Drosophila melanogaster: one gene and its partners. The protein of the gene in region 3 interacts with the protein of the main gene of each other region in a pairwise test. Each region holds a gene or a part of one and is shown on either strand. Other genes may lie near its edges.

Evidence for each region.
Region 1: the proteins of CG12723 (region 3) and Mat1 interact in a two-hybrid assay, tested with the Drosophila melanogaster proteins (one large-scale study listed by BioGRID).
Region 2: the proteins of CG12723 (region 3) and pie interact in a two-hybrid assay, tested with the Drosophila melanogaster proteins (one large-scale study listed by BioGRID).
Region 4: the proteins of CG12723 (region 3) and CycJ interact in a two-hybrid assay, tested with the Drosophila melanogaster proteins (one large-scale study listed by BioGRID).

Annotation. Positions count from the first base shown.
Region 1 is NT_033778.4:10,737,519-10,742,246, forward strand, and holds Mat1 (menage a trois 1), read right to left. Parts: upstream 2,312-4,728; 5' UTR 2,203-2,311; coding exon 1,240-2,202; 3' UTR 1,099-1,239; downstream 1-1,098. Other genes in the region: CG33144 (uncharacterized protein), read right to left, coding at 3,411-3,668, 3,726-3,929, 4,063-4,331, 4,393-4,555.
Region 2 is NT_033779.5:10,419,530-10,424,873, forward strand, and holds pie (pineapple eye), read right to left. Parts: upstream 3,252-5,344; 5' UTR 3,115-3,251; coding exon 3,001-3,114; intron 2,934-3,000; coding exon 1,299-2,933; 3' UTR 1,096-1,298; downstream 1-1,095. Other genes in the region: RfC3 (replication factor C subunit 3), read left to right, coding at 1-401, 462-676, 739-816, 872-1,023; Wdfy2 (WD repeat and FYVE domain containing 2), read left to right, coding at 3,991-4,151, 4,222-4,569, 4,842-4,954, 5,015-5,141, 5,205-5,344. UniProt on the Drosophila melanogaster protein: Required for survival of imaginal disk cells possibly by regulation of cell apoptosis. Required for germline stem cell self-renewal through mediation of BMP signaling.
Region 3 is NC_004354.4:13,188,106-13,193,435, forward strand, and holds CG12723 (uncharacterized protein), read right to left. Parts: upstream 3,779-5,330; 5' UTR 3,668-3,778; coding exon 2,897-3,667; intron 2,832-2,896; coding exon 1,931-2,831; intron 1,868-1,930; coding exon 1,662-1,867; 3' UTR 1,538-1,661; downstream 1-1,537. Other genes in the region: Lgr4 (Leucine-rich repeat-containing G protein-coupled receptor 4), read right to left, coding at 805-823; Coq5 (coenzyme Q5), read right to left, coding at 5,227-5,330.
Region 4 is NT_037436.4:3,464,111-3,468,967, forward strand, and holds CycJ (cyclin J), read left to right. Parts: upstream 1-2,317; 5' UTR 2,318-2,428; coding exon 2,429-2,512; intron 2,513-2,575; coding exon 2,576-2,762; intron 2,763-2,839; coding exon 2,840-3,262; intron 3,263-3,315; coding exon 3,316-3,782; 3' UTR 3,783-3,988; downstream 3,989-4,857. Other genes in the region: armi (armitage), read left to right, coding at 1-869, 939-1,742, 1,799-2,122; CG14971 (uncharacterized protein), read right to left, coding at 4,671-4,857.

The DNA of each region.
Region 1 (4,728 bases), on a different chromosome or scaffold from region 3:
CAAGCACTGCTCGTGAGTGGAGCATACTAAAACCCAAGTGCACTCGGATGCGAACGTAATGTGCAACAAAGTAAATGAAGTTAGCGAGAAACTTATGGGTAGTGTTTGGCAAACAATCGTGGCGCATGCAAACAATTCTAATTGTAGCTATGTGTAATCAACAAAAGGCGTGTGCGAAAAACTATTATTAAATGTTAACATTTTAATTAGATTGTTAAGACCAAATTTATGTCTAAATTAAATGTTATCCTACCATTTAACCACTAAGCGTATGCAAACCACTTGAACGTTTGATAGTTCTGGCACCTCGCGCCAGTTGCTGCTTCCACATTCCACATGCATCGTTCGCGGCATTTTCTGCCCGAGTAGCGTGACCCAGCACACACACACATCGCCTCCATCCCAGCTTATATTAATTTTGTGTATTTTATCATCATAGATGAGAAGCAAAACTCATGCGATCATAGTTAAGATTATGACATTTTAAATGTATTAGCAGCCATATCCCCGATCGCTCTCATTGTCACCAGTCCTGCACTCTGTAATCTACCCACATTGCCCATGCATAGGTCGTTAAGTTAACCAGTTCATGTACTTGGCTAGGATAGTCCATCTGTGGCCAAAAATCTCGCAAGTGGCCCGATCGCAGAACACATTTACCTCTAACTGTGCAAGTAGATCTTAGGATGTGACGAGCTACTCGTCCGACTATCACACGATTTAACTATAATCCGTATAATGTATAAAGAGCAAGTTAAATCCAATGTATGTTTATCCAGCATATGTCTATAAATGCCTATAAATATTTACTGTTAAAAGTATTTAAAATAAAAAGAAGTCTGTAGTCGAACGAACCAACTGTTTTTCTGTTTGGCTCATTTTGATCTCTTGTATTTGTATTTAGAATACAAATTCAGGAAACTTTCTTATTTGAATAATTATCAAAATGAATAAGCTAAGTTTCTTTGCAAATGAAAGTTATTCTAATATAGACATGTTATTTTTTTTACTTCTTGTTTAAGGATTAATTTTCCTGCGCATCTATTGACCTACTATGTAGCCAACAACAATATATTTTTGAATAAATAATATCTATAACGTAGGATATAGCATTTATTTATTTAACATATATTAAGTTACGAGTTAACTGAATGGATTCGTATAGGACACATTTGTTCAACAAAATTAAGCGTTCAGTGCTCTGGTTGTGCGACCATTAAAGGATATTTTTTTAGAGAGCTAGGTGCCAGATACCACACCCGTTGTAGCCGTATAGTAGAGTCCCTGCAGCGCCTCCTGAAGCGCCCGTTCACAAGCCAGAGCGGATGTGAATCCGCCGGCGTTCTCCTGCGGTGTTTCAGCTCGTATGTGGGCAATATAGCCCCTGGACACGATCTCATTTGTGGGCGGCATGGCAGGTCCCTCACTGAAAGGAACAAGTGGCTCGTATACGAAAAGTGGACCCTCCTCCGATTTGGGAACGGGCAGCAGACTGGGATCAGCTGTCTGTCCGAACTTTATGCCCGTAGAGAACTCGTTGGCGGGCTTCGGCGGTGGAAGCTGTTTCTCCTCCTCGCGCTGCTTTTCCGCTTTTTCGGCGAACTCGGTGACAATTTGGGCGGCATCCTTGCCGCTGTACATCAGCTCCTCGATCAGCGCCTGCTTGTCGCGGGCCTTCTTCTTCTTGTGCTCGTTCTCCAGTTCCTCCAGCTCCTTCCTACGCGCCTCCTCCTGAACTTTCTCCAGCTCCAGCATCTCCTCCAACGCGTACTCATCGCGTCCCACGCGGGTTTTATTCCGCTGAATGACCTCACGGTTATCACGCTTGTAGGCCTCAATACGCTTGTTTGTCTCGATGATGTCGATGTTGTTGCACAGATTGTACACAATGTCCTCGATCTCCTCCAGATAGTCATTGTACTCCGCCAGGGAGGCAAAGTCCTCCTCACGTTTATTGTAGTCGCGCAGAATTCGCCTACGAATATCCACCTCCTTCTCCACCATTGGGTCCTCAAAAAGCTGCACGCGGAAGTTGTTGCGCCGCAATGGGACCATGCACTCTGGACAGGCGCCGGATCCTTTGAGGAACAGCAAGTCCACGCAAGATTCGCATAATGTGTGTCCGCAAACGTTGACCATCAGCTTGAGCGATGGATTCCGGTATTTGGTGGTCTTGCACCGCGGGCACGCCTGGTCGTCCATCGCGTAGCCGGTTTACCTGTCCTCCTCTCTGCTGCTTAAATCCGTAAATAAAAACTCTTTGCCGGCCAATGTTTTCGATAAATTATTATTTGATGCATTCCCTAATGTGACCATGGTTGGCCCGTAATGTCATGTTTGTGATTTCGCTTAGTAACTTTAGTTCACATCTAGCACATACACGAACCACAAACATAGCGTTGCCATACTATATGCATGTTTTACAATAGCCGTTACAAGCTTGAAAATTTAAAGCTTGAAATGAAGCCCATGAATATGAAATGAGAATTTTAAGCTATTAAATAACCCAGTACTTTAATAAAAGCCAATTCCATAGTTTTCTTTTAACATTTTTATTTCAAACAGCATACGCGGTAGTTGTTCACATTAAGAGTAAAGTTTAAATATGTTTTCTTTAAAGATACACGCACTTTTATGTCATACGTATTTTGATATATGTGTTCTGAGTGTATATGCATTAAATAATTCAATAATTTACATTAACCAAATCATCCCCAGCTAGGTGCACCTGCCAGCTTTTAGGCAAGCGACCCGAGAGCAGCGATTTGATATACATTTGTTTTAGCTGCGTAGTAAAATTTACAATTAAATACATTCAATAAACAGTAGTAGTGACATCATATACACCTCCTTTATATGCAGTATATATATTTTTTTGCGTAGATAAAAGCATTGCCAAGCAGTTGATCAAAGTGACCCATCAATTTTGGGTGTTAGTTGCATGCGTAATACTTGAGAGAAGGATTGAGTGGGTGAGTCGGGCGATTTTGTTTGGGTGGGTGCGTTATAAAAGCACTGTTGCAATACGAGGCGTACTCCTAATATATTTAGACTAACTTATGCGCTAGGAAGAGAACCTACTCGATTTATACAGATTGATTTAGTCGAATATATATTCAAAGGTGTGGTTAGGGGGAGGAAAGAATATATGTAGAGACAGAACCTAAAAAGAATCGAAGGCGTCTTGTCTTTGTATAGGTTCTCAACAAATTTGTCGATTCAATTAGAAATCGAATCACTGTAAATATCACAATTTAGTTAACACATATACAATTATAATTGTAATAACTAAAATAAATGTACGTAAGCTGTCGTCATTAACAATAGAAACTACCAGTAATTACAGCAGCTGCATTTACAGGCTGCAGCCTATGTCGCGTATGGATGGGGATGCGTGGAGATCCAGCCACCTAGCCCTGCAGCGCAGTGACCTCCTCCTCCAGTTCGGCGTCCACCTCGTCGATCTTGGACCCGGTGCACCCTCTGCACTTGCAGCAGATGATGCAGGGAGCAGCCAAGAGCAGCAGCGGCGAGGCCACCAGCAGCAGAATGCCAAAGCCGGCGAAGATCCCAATCACTTGGGCACGATGCCAGACCACCGAGGCCCGCGAGTGCCCCAGCTTGTTCTTGCACGGTCCCTTGTCGTAGTGGCGCAGCAGGAAGTCATCCTGCAGGAATACAAATTAGATGAAATATCCTAGACTTGCCAGATTCTAGGAACTTACATCCAAACTGGCCAGGCAGTACCAGCAGAAGACGTGCTTGCAGCGCTTGCACATCATCTGGGCGCAGCCCTCGTCCTTTTCGATGGGCACCGCGCACATGGGGCAGCACTTGATCAGTTCGTTGTCGAACGGTATGCCAATGTCGTCCTGGCCATCGGCAATTAGGCGTCTTCCAAACTCGTCGCAGCTTATGTTCGGATGGTACTGCAAAAAGGATAGAAATCATTATAAACTAGAAACCATTAAAAATGTGATAAAATTGCGCAAAACTAAAAACCTTTTATAGAATTTTAATTTATGTTTATGACAGGAAACAACAACAATGTCACACACTTACCGCCTTTTTGCAGAGGCCGCAGAATTCGTCCTTGCAAGAGGGACAGTGAACAGACACCGAGAGAACGGGAGCTCCGTTTCCGGCCGCGGCACCTGTGCTTCCGTTTCCGGCCACCTCCTGCTGTGGACTGTAGCTCTGCGAGGTCGACGGCGACTCGTCCATTTGGCAAATGACGCTGGACTGGCCAGGCTGTGCTGCTGCACCCACCGTGCAGATGGTCTCGCAGCCAGCCCGTGGACACCAGGTGCGCGTCTTGTCCAATTCGATTTCTAAATGAAAGTGTAACATTACTAAGAGGTCTCTTAGGCAATCTCTTAGGCAAGGACTTACCTCGATTTAGGCGATATCTATGATGCTTCTTTAGCAGATTCGTTGTAGTTAGGTTCGCTATCTCGGGCAGGGAAATGGCACCCTGGGCCGGGCACGTGGCGTCCGGACAGGAGATCTCGTAAGCGCCCTCGGAAATCTCGAACTCAACGTAGGCACGCATGCACTGCAAGTAAATAGAAGCAGGCGATGAATTAGCTAAACAATTTGCACGTCTTAAGCGTAATCGCACCTAAGTCGGGAAAATATATCTTGATATACATATATGTGAGAGTTGTAGCTCACTCCCTCACTTTTTGCCAAGGGAAAAGTTTGTCAGGGCATTTAGCAAGTTTGGCT
Region 2 (5,344 bases), on a different chromosome or scaffold from region 3:
CCACCTGGCACGGGAAAAACGAGTACAATCCTGGCCTGCGCTCGCCAATTGTATTCCCCTCAGCAGTTTAAGTCCATGGTCCTGGAGCTGAATGCCTCGGATGACCGAGGCATTGGGATTGTGCGCGGTCAAATCCTTAACTTCGCGTCCACACGCACCATTTTCTGCGACACCTTTAAGCTGATCATTTTGGACGAGGCCGATGCCATGACCAACGATGCCCAGAATGCCCTGCGCCGCATAATTGAGAAATATACGGACAACGTGCGCTTCTGTGTGATTTGCAATTATTTGAGCAAAATCATTCCGGCGCTGCAGTCGCGTTGCACCCGTTTTCGGTTCGCTCCATTATCCCAGGATCAGATGATGCCGCGACTGGAAAAAATCATCGAAGCCGAAGCGTAAGGTCTTTCAACTGCATAAAATAGCTTATTACTAACCTAAAATCTATCAACTATCAGCGTTCAGATAACTGAGGACGGCAAGCGGGCACTGCTGACCCTGGCCAAAGGTGATATGAGAAAGGTCTTGAACGTCCTGCAGAGTACCGTGATGGCATTTGATACGGTAAACGAGGATAACGTCTACATGTGCGTGGGCTATCCGTTGAGGCAGGATATTGAACAGATATTGAAGGCCTTGCTATCCGGCAGTAGCTTGGAGGACTCCTTCAAAAGTATGATGCGATTTGAAATGGCGAAAGATCAAAACTAATGATTCTTTCTTCTCTTTGCATAGCTGTCGAAAGTGCCAAGTACGCAAGAGGTCTCGCTTTGGAAGACATCATTACAGAATTGCATTTGTTTGTTATGAGACGTAAGTTTTTATCAAGTTATCATCAAGTCAAGTTATTGATATGTATTCCAAACAGTTGAGCTGCCTATGTCGGTCATGAACAAGCTTATTGTAAAGCTAGCTCAGATCGAGGAGAGATTGGCCAAAGGATGTACAGAAGTGGCTCAAACTGCAGCTCTGGTAGCCGCCTTCTTTATTTGCCGAGATATGGTTTCAATGGAGAAGTGAAACAATGTGTACTCCAATAATAGGTTAGAATTAAATTATAAATACAAAAACATAAAACACAATTTATTTACTGCATGCTTCTCTAGTTTAACAATCATTAAACCTTTTTAAAGTGGTTTCAGAGGTAGGAAATTTTTTTTTGTTTTTTTTTTTTTTTTGGATGATCATGCGAAACAATATATGCATAAAGAGACTAGAATTCTATGACGAATTAATTCCCACACAAGAGAATTGTTTAAAACATTAAGAACATTAAGAATTGTTTTAAACAATATTTAAGAGAACCCCTCTGATCTGTACCATTCGTGGAACTTCTCGATATGCTCAAAGATGCCGCGGTCCTCGCTGCGGCACCATACATCGTCTGGTGTTATGTTGACGCGTTCCAAAGCTGCCTGCGAGGTGTCCTGAATGCGCGGGTCATCCTCTTTAAATCGCAGCACACACGTACCAATGCACTCACCCATGCATGTGCCGTGCTCAAATTCGTAGATAACCAAGTAGAAAAATGGTTCGCCAGGGCATTGAAAGCCCGATTTTAGCACAAGTAAAGTATTTGGATCCTCTTTCGGCAGTGACGGTGAGTTGGGAGCTTTCGCCACAGCTTGTTCCTGCGGCTGTGGACAATCGAAAGTTTGTGATACTAGCTGCGTTGAGAAGCTGGCTTCTGGCTGCGGTGAGTGTGGAATCGTGTTTAATGCTGTTTGCTGCGTTAATTCAGGGTTTACGTTTATTGCTGTTGTCTGCGGTAAGTCGGGGATCTCACTTGCTGCTGTTGGCTGCGGTGAGTCGGGGATCTCACTTGCTGCTATTGGCTGTGGTGAGTCGGATGTGTCCCTTCTTGCTATTGGCTGCGGCGAGTGGTTCTCATCGATGGACGTCTTTGGCGACGCCTCTGGCGAATCAGGAATTTCCACTATCATCTCCTCCTGTGGCGGCGATAAGGATAACCTCTCGCTTGTTGCGTTAGATTTCGGTTGGCTGAATATAACCGTGATATTACTACTTCGTTCGCTTTCGTCTTCTTCGGAGAAAACAGGAGTCTGGGTTAAGGATCGAGTTGCAGCATCGGGTCCCAATTTTTGCACATAAAAAGAGCCATCCACCTGGTTGTCGCCGTCAGCATTGGTTTCTTCTGTTGTGCGAGCCGGTCCTTCAGCAATCCTCCTCTCCACGTCCAGGCACATAGAGCACTTGAAATCTGTACGCTCGCGCTTCTTCGGCAGTCGCAGGGCGCCCACCAAGCATTTAAGATGAGCCGAAGTGGCGGCACAAGAACTGCAGCATAGTATCACCCACGATAATCTATTATAAGTTCTACCACTGGGGCACAGGCAGTTGGGCTGGTCGCATTTCAGATTGCGCTCGTGGAGCTCCCTATAGGCGTTCCGTTGCTTCTCCCACGTGGCATCGCGATCGGGCACGAATACCGACTGCAGGCGTATGGAATCCCTGAAACGTTCCGAACGACACCAAATGCAACGCAAGTAATATCCGGAGGTCAGAGCGTACTGACGCATGCATTTCTTATGGGCGAATCCGAGGCGGCAGCAGTCACCGTACACAACGCAATGCAGCTCTACCTTATAGATGGAACTGAAGCAGATGGGGCAAGTGGCGTTCCTCGGCGGATTCGACTGCAGCTGTCGCTTGTAGTCATCCATCGGCCTGCATTTGTAGCAGTAGCTTTTGTATTGGCCGCAGAACTCGAAAACGGCGCGATTCTCCAGGCCGCACTTCAGGTGAAACAATGACCGGCAACGATCGCATTGCAAACTGGCCCCAATCTTATTGCAGTACCAACATTTCCTCTTCTCCGCGGCGGCTGCCTCCTCGCGGATATCGCGAAGCAGAAATCCCAGGATTCCACTGCTATCTCCGCCGCGCTGCGGCAAATGCGTTGAGAGTAGCTGGTGGATTGGATCAGGAAGTTTACATTAGCGGGAGTTCTCTTCATTTCACAACAATCGCACTTACCAGGCAAAAATAGTGCACCTGCAAATTGCGTACAATCATCCATTCGCCAAAGACCAGGTCGTCAGTGTCCGAATATTTGCATATTAAGCATTGCAGCTCCTTGTTATCTTCCATTTGTAAGCTGGCCGCTCAGACTAGTTTTGCTGGACAGATCAACTCGTTTGAGTGCTATTATGAATAATTTTTAAAACTATCAACATGTTTTGCATTCCTTTTTTACTCTATTGGCGGGCAAGGATTTTGAAAAACAATAAATACAACAGCGCCTTATTATACTTCAATTCCACCAAGCACATTTTTGGAAAAGCTCTGTTTCCACTGAGCAACACTCACAATGATCTAATCTGCTTAACTAGCTATATTTTGCGTTAACCCTACTTATAATAAAATTATTTATTTATGTGTAATAATAAATTTTAACGTATTAAAAACTTAACACAATATAAACAAATATTTTGTGATTAATAATTAAATAGCATGATAACCGGAAACATAACTGTGCGTGGTCCGTAGGTTTTATTAGATATGATATGCCATTATGAAAATCATAAGACTATACATTTATAAAGCGATTTCTGAGATTCAAGATTCAAATGCTCGTTTGTATGTTTATAAAATGTGGTGCGTGCATATGCATACATAATGCTGCGACACATCACACGAAATACCTTCAGTATTTTTAATAGCAAAATAATATACAATAATACGCAAAAACTATATCTAACAATTAAGATTCTATTTTCATTTCATCGATTCCACTATTCCGCAGCATTCCTAAACTTGGCGTCGCTATCTAGACGAGCTTTCCAACAACAAAGTTCAGTATATTTAATGTTAAACAAAATAACACAGTTTTGTTAATTGATTGTGAATCACGTATCTCCATTCACCTTCCCCAGTCCGAGAATCGGATTGTTTATAACCGCATTATCATCGAGTGCGTTAAATAGGGCGTAGGCGTACCATCGGACTGGATCCACCTTAAATAATATGGCTGCCGAGATAAAACCAGCTCAGCGGACCAACAATGATCGCTTTAACACCTCCAAAAAGCCGGAATTGCTGAGTAAGCTGGAGGGCAGCAGCGACGATGTGAACGCAGCGATCCTAATTCCGGGCGAAAACGGCGTAATTAGCGTTTCCGATGACAAGTGCGTAGCTGTAGCCCATTAAAAATATACACAAATGGTATGCCTGACATTTTCATGTTTTCCCCAATAGAACCGTTCGCGTTTGGCTAAAACGCGATTCTGGTCAATATTGGCCTAGCATTTGCCAGTATATGCCTTCCGGCTGCACGGCCATCGAGTACGTTTCGGAATCCCGGCACCTGTACGTCGGCCAGGAAAACGGAACGGTCACCCAGTACGCGCTATCCGAAGACTGCAATCGCCTGTCCTTCCTGCGGGATTACTTGTCCCATCAAGCGCGGGTCATGGCCGTGGTCTTCTCGAAAACCCACAAGTGGATACTCTCCGCCGGCAAAGATAAGCAGTTCGCCTATCATTGCACGGAGAGCGGCAAACGGGTGGGCGGATACAACTTTGAGACACCATGCACGGCTCTCCAGTAAGTATGATAAATGGATGGTGAAAGGGGGAAGGGGGTGCGACAGTGGATATGGGATAAGCGGGTCATTTAATTGGATTAAACTGCTTTCTTTGACACGGCAATAAACTGCAATTCTTCACGGCTATGGAATTCATTTAGAATTTGAGAACCTTCTATTGTTAATGACGTGTCAACTGAGTCATTTTATCTACACAAAATTTTGGCATAAATGTGTGCACTGTGCGAAATATTCTATAAGCAACATATAATTAATTATAATCTGCGTTTAGGTTCGACGCTTTGGCCAAGTATGCCTTTGTGGGCGATCATGCTGGACAGATAACAATGCTAAGGTGCGATGTTCAGGGAGTGCAACTAATTACCACTTTCAATGGACATTCGGGTAAACAAGTTACAAATGATATTTAGTAAGCTAATTATATACGAATTGGTTAATTTTTAGCGGAAATCCGGTGCCTCAAATGGGTGGAAGGCCCTCAGCTCTTGTTTAGCGGAGCTTGCGATCAGTCCGTGCTAGTTTGGGATGTTGGTGGCAAACGTGGCACCATTTACGAGCTGCAGGGACATAGGTATCTCCAATCTTAAATAATATTCATAAAATAAGATAGTAATCGGCACTTCTGATTATGTAGCAACAAAGTTTCCGCCCTGTCGTACGCGAATCACACGCAACAACTGATAAGCTGTGGCGAAGATTCAGTAGTGGTTTTTTGGGAAATGAATGCAATGCGGAAAGAGGTTCCTGGCTGGGTGGATACCAACAACTGTCAGC
Region 3 (5,330 bases):
ATATGTATATTCCAAAAATTCGTAGCATTTCTTTGTATGCCTTAAATAGTTTCATTTATTTATTTGCAAACTCTTTCAGTACTCTTATTATATAACTTTAAACATAAAAAAAAAATTGAGCAACGCACCGGCAAAAAAAAGAAAAACTTTTGTATCTAATGCACTTTTTATTCGCGGACATTTATGTTTTCTCGAGCTCAAACTTTATTCGAAAAACTTCTTGGTGCCCTTTGAACTTTGTCAAACATCCAGAACTTTCATCACTTTTGCACCTTTTCGTGCATATAACTTTTGGAATTTCTTTGTAAAATTATTTCATTTTCGAAAGTTTTGGCTTGTATACTTTTTGCCATCACTATCCATTTAAAAAATGTTCAAGCCTGTATTCGATTTCATGCCATTTTTCTCAATGATTTTTTTTTTTTTTTGTATTCTTTATGTTGTCTTAGCTTTAATTTCAATTTGAATCCAAACTTGAAATACCCTCCTATATATACATATATGTATATTTCATATGAATTTCCTAAAGGTAGCACACTTAAATTATAAACCCTCAATTATCGCATGGATAACATTCACACAACCATCGAAAATCCCAGGCACTTTCACATCCGCAGATGGTCAATATCTTGGCCGGGTTTATTATTTCGATTCGCGTTAAAATGCCACACAAACATTGCGAATAAAGTAGATAAAAACCTATACACATTGGAATCGGGGGATATCTGGCATCTCTCTATAACTGCACCGATAAATATACACACAAACAAAAAAAGGGGTATTGTTTATTATTCCGGGACGTACGCATGATCGCTATTGACATCCAGGGAGTTCTTCGCTTTTTTTTTCTTCCACCGTCTCAACGGGCAATAAACAATATTTAATTATAGACTCTGATGGGCACAGCACAAAAAAAAAACAAAAAAAAACCAAAAAGAATCAAAATCAAAATAAAACTTCGCCGCACTTCAATGTGTAAGATCGCGGATCGGTGGATCCAAAAATATATATGCGCGGTATATAGTCGGAATATAGTCGATTTTTGGTCCGCAGCAGACGCGCGTTCGCCGCCAACGATAACAAACAACTGAGCTGAAAAAAAGGCGAGCGAATGCCTGCAACATGTGGCATGCGGCCTTTCCAGGTGCCCCGCCCACTGGCGCCGCCCAGCCGACCGCCCAACCGCCCACTTTTCACCCAACCAAGCACACAACGCACTCATTCAGCGCGCCGGCTGGCAATTTATGAATGAAAAGCTGAACGGGAAAAGCTCCAAAGAAACCAACGAACGCCAAGTTCAAGGTGAAAAGCCCTTTGGGGGAAAAGCGCGCGCCGGAAAAGCTCAGGAAATGAAAATGCGCCGAGCCAAAGGGAATTTCCTAATGAAATTCAAATAGATAATATGTATGTGCCAAAAGGAAATAAACTAAGATATTATGTCTATATCTCGCATATACTTTGCAATAGAATTAGTTATTTAAATTATTTATTATATTTATTATTATTACGCAATAAATAAACGATCTGTTCAATTTTTCGATAAATAACTTATTTAATAGCAACATAATTTACAATACAAGTAGAGCACAAATGAACGAAGGCTTAAAAAAAAAAAACAAAAAAAAATTTGAAAAGATCCCTAGGTGGAGTGAGTGGTGGACTCAGTAGTGGTGGTAGTTGTGGCCCTGTTGCTGCTGTTGCTGCTGCTGCTGCTGCTGCTGGTGCTGCTGCTGCGCCAAGTTGGCCTGGGCGAAAATGTGCTCCAGCTCGGCATCGGTCAGCTGGTCAAAGATGCCGCCCTGACCACCGATTCCGGCACTACTGGCACTCAGGGCCGACGGTTGGGATCCCACGGGTGGCAGGTAACCTGGAAAATATTCGTTTGAAATATAGCATAATAATATATATCCATAACGTCATCTGAGCTCACCTTCAGCTGGCGCACTTCCGTATGGCGGGAGCAGGGTGATCGAGGGTCGATTCGGCGACGCTGGCGCGGATTCGGTGGGTGGACTATAGAATACCGGCTTCCAGGGCTGCTGGACGGATGGCCGCTGTGGTGGCACCTCCGACGGCGTCTCCGGCTCGGGTGATTGTGGGGGAATCTGCGGCGAGGCTATACCCGTGCCGGATTCAGGGCGGACGGGAGTGGAGCCCGGCAGCGGTACAATTCCGCCGGGGAATTGCGACTCTGGTTGGCCAAAAGTGGGTGGCTGCTGCGGCAATGGTGGCTGTGGAGCAGCCGGAAAGAATTGGCTAGTTGGTGGACTGGGGAAGGCCGGGACCGTGGGTACAGCTGGAACTCCTGGAACGGAGGGAGGTGATGGAATGGCTGGCGCCTGGGGGAACTGGGGAATCTGGGGAAAGCCGGGAAATTGAGGGAATCCGGGAAATTGTGGTATTTGGGGTATCTGCGGTATGGCCGGAATCTGTGGAATGGCGGGAACCTGTGGCACTTCTGGGGCTTCTGGTGCAGCTGGAACTGCCGGCTGGGCGGGCACAGCGGGTTGGGCTGGCACCGCTGGCTGAGCGGGCTGGAAGCTAAAGGTCGGCACACCGGGGAACTGAGGCGGTTGTGGGAACTGAGGGATCACCGGCAAATCCACAGCTGGGGGAGACGGAACACCGAAGGTCACTGTAGGTTGGATGGGTTGAACCGGTTGAAGGGGCTGAACCGGTTGGATTGGGCTAACTGGCTGCAGATGGGTGGTCACCGGTTGCACCGGTTGAAGGGGCTGAATGGGCTGGAGATGATGAACTGGCTGCACTGGCTGCACGGGCTGAACAGGCACTGCCGGAGCAGTCGGAGCATAGGTCTGCACATAAGTGGGCTGCAACAGAAAAGAATGAAATGGTCAACGGGATATTCCACAAGTTTCCTATGTAGCTAACTCACCTGCACGGCATGCACATGGCCATGAGCCGGAGCATGGAAGTGGACAGGCTTTACGGCGGACTGAAAGACCACGGGCTTCTGCAGGTGCTGGTGCGGATAGTTGACGCTGTACGAGGAGACGACCGCATTTCCGGGACGCAGGACGTACGAGGGCGGAGCCACGGCGGTGGACAAAGCGGTGGCCACGCCGGTGGACAAGGCAGTAGCGACTCCGGCGGGAATGGCACTGGCCACGCCACCGGGCAGACCGGTGGGCAATCCAACGGGCAGGGCTGAGGCGACGGCGGGCAGCAGGGCAGCGGGTGCGGGAGCTAAGGCGGGCAGCAAACCGGAACCGGAAACGAGCGGCTTGACCAGACCATGGCCGTATTTGACGAAGTGGCGGCGCGGAGGAGCGGCGGCCAGGAAGGCACTGCCTCCTGGCAGCTGCAGGCTATAGCCGTAGTGGGCGGCATAGGTGCGGGCGGGCCATTGGCCGTGCAGGTGGGCGTGGCCGTGTAGAATGCCACGCTTGTGCTTTCCGGTCGTGACCTCCACTTCCGTTTCCGGTTCGGTAACCACACTGGCCGTTGGGGCACTCTCCGCCACCGATTCCTCTTGTAGCGGGGCATCCTCGGAGGTCACTGTCAAAGTGGGCGTTGTGCTGGCGGGGGGCGTGACCGATCGACTGGTGTGACGCAAACGTAAGCCCGCCTCAGCTCGATGAGAAACCAAGATGACAGCCAAGACCATCAGAAGATGGAGGCTCCTCGAACTGGCCAAGAGATTCATTTCGATTCAGTGGACTTGATTTCTATATGCGTATATTTGGACACTATGTAATATATCGCCTCGCCTCGCGTTTAATCCGTTTGCTGCGATCGCCGACAAGAAAATGAAATGAACTTCCTTGGTCGCTGTTGTATTTATAAAGCGGACATCGCGGCACAGTGGAGTGGCACATACCCACTGTGCATACCAATCGGTGGCACTGGTGGTGCTAGCAATGCACCACCGTCAGCGGCTCATCGGCATGGCATACGGCATGGATTGGGCAGTTTATGACTTTTACGCTGCCATTTCACCTGCCGCAATCGAAGACCCCTCACCCACTGACCACTGACCACTGAGCAGCGCCTCATTATGCTGCGCCACCTGACCACGCACTGTGGTACCGTAGATTGTGCGCATATATATGGTATGTATATTCCTCAAGTATGGAATATTCCTACTACACTTCATATCTAAGTTTACTTCTTATTCAGATATCGAGATTATTATCATAAAAATCTAAAAGGCTAAAACTCTATATAGTTTGCCAACAACTTTGCCCACTAGTCCCACTGATTGCCTGGCCCCGCTCCACTGTCCCATTGGCCGGAATCCACCTACGCATGCGCAGCACGTTGCCGCACGCACCAAACTTTTGCTTTCAATGGCCTGCATGTTCCGCATGCTTTTTGTGCTCAGTTTTTTTTGTTTTTTATCGCCGGACTCTTTTCACTTTCGATTGCCGGAGATGGAAGGTCCGAAGGTTTATGATTTGGCTGCAATTTAGATACAAATCAAATGTGTCTCCGCTTACATAATCCGGCCAATAATATGGGCGGCTATTCGGGTGTCCAATCCGTGTTAATCAGTCGCCGGGTGAAAGCATAATAAAGCCATTGTAATAAAAGCAAAAGCGCACAATTGCAAAGCACCAATTAGCAATTACCTATTAAGCATGGCACGGTCAATTATTTTGATGGCATTTCAATGCTATTATTTGAATTTCGTTAAAATTCAACATTCACACGCATAAATTTCACCTGCACTACATCTGATGGCGAACTGAAGTCAATAGATAAGTGGATAGTTTCTGCATTATATCACATCCCATCGCCGTAAATGGACTTTCGATTAGCCTACATGGAGATTTTCACTTTTTTTTGGAAACGACCCGTTGGGTGTGTGGAATTTAAATCGATTACAGTGCCTTACACCTGGCATCTGGTACAGTTCGGTTATTGGGCTACCACCATATCGCCCTTTGCATCTAAGTGGGTCTGGCACACAATCCTCAAGGTCTTTCCCAGGCCTTGCCGCCGGAGATGTCATCAGTTTGCCGTTTGGGTTTGCCTTTTGGCACATGAAGTACATATATTTGACAAAGAGCTACATAAACCTCAAAATGTAAACATACAGAAATAAAAGCCGCCAGAGGAGCTTGTTTAATTCGATGCTTTATGACCTGCCCGACGTGAGCAGCATGAAAAAACGCAAAAAACCAACAATATAGATTATAGTTAAGCCCCATCAAATGGTCTTAGGATTTCCTAATCGCTTACAACAAATATCATCCTCGGCTGTCACAGTTTGAAGCCGGAGTGAATGCTGACCACGCCGAAGGTTAGGTTCTCGTAGGACACCTGATCGAATCCGGCCTGCTCGATCATTTGCTTGAATTGCTCCT
Region 4 (4,857 bases), on a different chromosome or scaffold from region 3:
CCCTAAGCATTAAAACCTATATGCACCGTTTCAGATTGCTCCTACACCTCGAGGAGATCGAGTGCTTCGTCAACTTTCGCAACTACGACAGAGACCGAGCACACTTTCTGCGTGACGGAGAGTTCCTCACGCTGCAGATCGAGAATCTAGCCGAGCGTCGACCGTCGCTGGTCATTGGCGATACACTGCGAGTCATTAATCCCTGGTCGGATCCCGATTCCCAGACCACCAAGTCATACGAGGGCATTATCCATAAGGTGCTCTTCGATCGCATTTTACTCAAATTCCATTCCAGTTTCCAGGAGAAATATAATGGCGAGGACTATCGACTAGAGTTCTATTTCTCACGCTACAGTTTTCGCAAGCAACACCATGCCATCTCCAAAATTGTAGGAGTAATGGGCGAGGATTTCTTGTTTCCCAGCAAAGTAACCAAGCGCGAGAATCCCCAGCTGGATGTTTATATGAAGGATGACGACATGTACTTGTACGATTCGAAATTAGAGTGGTATAATCAGTCGCTTAATTCCATCCAAAAACGTGCTGTTTTCAATATACTGCGCGGTGAAGCGGAGAACATTCCTTATGTGCTGTTTGGGCCTCCGGGCAGTGGAAAAACAATGACACTTATTGAGACACTACTCCAGTTGGTTAGGAATCTGCCTGGTGCCCGAATCTTGGTGGGAACGCCGTCGAACAGCTCAGCGGATTTGGTGACAAAGAGGCTCATCGATAGCAAAGCTTTGCTCCAGGGAGATTTCATTCGCCTCGTTTCGTACAATCAAGTGGAGAAAGACTTGATTCCTCCGGAAATAATGAGCTACTGCGCCACAAGTGATGTCGGTGCTGTGGGCAGTTGCGAGGACAAAGTGAGTAGAAAAATTTTATCATTTGGATTGGACACCAATTAATCTTGGCTTTGTTGATATTTGCTATAGATGATGGTCACCGAATCGGGATTGAAGCTTCGCTGTCAAGCTAAGTTTATAGGTACTCATCGCATTACCATCTCCACCTGCACTACTTTGGGAAACTTTTTACAATTGGGGTTTCCAGCGGGCCATTTCACTCACGTGCTGTTCGATGAAGCTGGTCAATGCACCGAACCAGAAACAATGGTACCCATTGTAATGCTAACGAAGAAACGCTCTCAAGTTGTTCTCTCAGGTGATCCTCGCCAGCTGCAGTCTATTGTCACCAGTCGAATTGCCTCGAAAATGGGATTTTCCATATCCTTTCTGGAGAGATTGCTGGAACGGTCGCCGTATCGAAAAGATCTTCAGCGATTTCCCGAAAGCTCCGGCTACAATCCACTAGTGCTAACCAAATTGTTGTACAATTACCGAGCATTACCGTCGATTATGAGCATTTATAGCAGGCTATTCTACGATGACGAACTGATCCCAGTTCTTTCCGAAAAGGATTCAAGGGAATCTCGCCTACTAAGTAAACTGCGGTGTGTATTTGAGTCAGAAAAGGATATCCCTCAAGCGCACGGCACGTTCTTTTACGGAATCATTGGCGAAAACAGGCAAAATAACGATTCCCCTTCCTGGTTCAATCCCCAAGAGGTCAGGGAGGTGTTCCTAATGACCATCGCCCTGTACCGTGCCAATGTGACTGCCGATCAGATCGGTATAATCACGCCCTATCAGAAGCAGGTGAAGATGCTTCGGAGTATGTTCATTGGCACCGACGTGGTCATGCCGAAGATTGGATCCGTCGAGGAGTTTCAGGGACAGGTGGGGTCGGAACTAAAATCGATATTACGTGCACACTTAACGTTTGTTATTTCCAGGAACGAGACATTATACTAATATCCACGGTGCGTTCATCAGAAGAGATCCTGCGCATGGATGCCCGCTTCTCCTTGGGATTCGTGCGTTGCAGCAAGCGACTTAACGTGGCCGTTTCCCGAGCACGTGCCATGATGATCATCTTCGGGAATCCCCATCTTCTGGCCGTCGACGAATGCTGGCGCCAGCTAATCCTGTTCTGTGTCAAAAATAACGCCTATTTTGGCTGTGATCTGCCTCAAATGGTGATAAATCAGAAAGATGAGGTCCCCGTTTGCTTGGAAACATTCGTGCCTTCACTGAATACTACAGATGATTTGAACTAAGCACATATGACAGTTTATTATTAAATTAAAACACTTGTTATTGATGAATTAAAGTAACACAATTAATCATTAAACTTGTTTTAAATATTTGTACATATGTGCTAATTTTAGCGAATGGTAACACTCCCAAGCGCAGTCTGGGAACGCTGCTCGTTTGGCTTCGCAGTGTGGTAGCACTGGCCGGAACCGTTGTAGCGCCATGTTTGCGCTCCTTTTGTTTTCTCCTTCATTTGTTTTGCTTTTTTCCGCCGTTAAGTTCTTGCCTTAAAATCGGTGATTTAAGGCATTGCATTCAATTTCGATACAATGGAGCAGAAAGTGGCTGCCGAGCAGAACATCTTCGTCGTCGACCGCAAATTGAAGAAAACTTGCCCGCAAGCAGATGTCGAGGTGAACGGACATGTGCTTAACTTTTGCGAACCCGACTTTATTTCGTTAAATACCAATTTGTAGCGCCTGGCTAAGACGCACTGGCTCACCGACTATGCCCGGGATATATTTTTGACCATGAGGGAGCAAGAACTCAGCCGTCGGCCTTTGTTTTACCTTTCGCCGCAGCTGAACGAGCGCCGAAGAATGCTGCAGTTGCTCAAACTGGCGACCAGCGCCCACAAGCTTAGTCGCTGTGCTTTGCACCTGGGTGAGCACTGTACAGAGGAGCCTCGCTGCAGGCACAAAACCCATGTGCACAACTCATTGTAACTCGTTTCACTCCAGCCGTCTACTATATGGATCGCTTTGTTGATTACTACAAAATCCGTCCGGACAAATTGCTCCTGGTGGCCATCACTTGTCTTCATATAGCTGCGCAGATCGAAAACACGGATGCGTTTATTCCGCGCTACAGCGAAATGAACCGATTGGTCAAGAACGCCTATACGGCATTCGAGTACAAGGCTGTGGAAAGGAAGATCCTGTGCTTCCTGAACTTCGAGCTAATACGTCCCACCACCGCCAGTTTTGTGGAGCTCTTCGCCTGCAGTTTTCTCACTCGCTCCGATTTCAAGAACTACATCGAGATGTTGGATGAGTACGAGCGGAACCATCACACCCAGCCGTACCAGCGATATATAAGCTTCGAAGAGATGCTGTCCATTTTGGCGCAGTTGCTCCTTCGCATGGCGGATTATACATTGTACAGTGAGTATCGAATTCCCATGGAAGGTATTGGATACCACTTAACACTCATTCAGTTTCCAGATTTGCCAACGATCTGCCATCCCTTTTGGCTGCCGCCTGCATTGCTGCAGTTCGCCAGGTCAGCGGGGTCAGGCGCTGGTCGGAGTACCTAGTTGGACTGACCTCCTATACTGAGGCGAATGTCGAGCCGTACATGAACGTTCTGACCGACTATTATTATTACCATGTTATTCAGACCGACTACGGTAGTCCCTCTGTTCAGACCAACCAGAGTTTAGCCAGTCCCGATTCCGGATTCGAGGAGTCCTTCACTGAGAACACAAACCTGGTGGTCTCCGATGAAGTGGTCACAGTAGAGACCTACAACATAATTACCGTGCAGCTGCAGGATCCATCTCCACATTCATCGACTTTCCTTCCCAAAGAGCAAACGAATTTGAAGCGATCGCGCTTTGAAGACGATACCGAAAACCAGCACCCATTGAAACACGCCAAAGTGGAGAGTGTAGCCAAAGATTAGTAAAAGGGAAAAACGAAACTATTACCATTTGGAGGAAATCCAAATAGCTTAGAAGTGAAATGACATCCATAACGTAGATATGGTCTTGTTCAATTGAGTTGAACCTCACCCATATAATAATCGTGATGTTATGCTTTAATATATATGTATTTAATATATATTTGAAATTATCTTATAAACTTATAAATACAATATGTCAAAAACTCAACAAAAATGATGCATTAACTAAAAACAACGAAGACATTATTTATAATTCGCTAAAGAACAATGCCCCTTGTTTAATTTAATCAGACGTTTGCGGGAGCTTTCAAATTAAAAATTCTTATAACTATAAGGGTTTACAATTCAATTTGGAATGCCAAATTAAAGATGTCAGTTAAGGAACAATGAAAGGGTCATTAAGGCTTTCTTATTTTTACATAGGTTGTATGACTTAAGATCGAGTTTTTACAAAAAAGAAACGAGATAGATTTCGGAACTCAAGCAAACTTTGGACAGTTCTCAATACATTTTCAGCTTCACAAATGCAAAAAGATTAAAACTAACTGCTATTAGAAGTTAATTGATTGTCCAAAGAATACTCTTCGTTCCTTAGATTTCGTGTCGTTACAATCGAATCAACTTAAACATGGATGTTACTCTTTACACTTCAATTTGACGTACGTCTCATATATCTAGCCTAGCCCCTAAATGCACAAGGCGGGAATGCATCGAGGAAGTTGAGGGAATCGGTGACGGAAGGAATGAAGAGTGTCAAACTAACTAGCTTACTTAAACATGCATTGCTAATCCCAGTGTAGTAAGTAGTTGCGTGGGCCAAGGTGCTGGTAAACATAAAAGTAGTTTGAATTTACAACATTTACAGGACATCTGTACAAGGATTGGCTTTCATCGCTGCATGTCGCGTCGCTTCAGCACGTCGAAGATCACATCGGAGGCGTTCTGTTTGTTGCTTGCACCAGACTCGTCCTCCGAGTCGGTTTGCTCCAGCAATGGCACCGTCAGCGTGGAGTGCGACTTCACATGGACACCCACAATGGCACTGCCATCGTTGAATTTGTACTCCCCTGGCGAC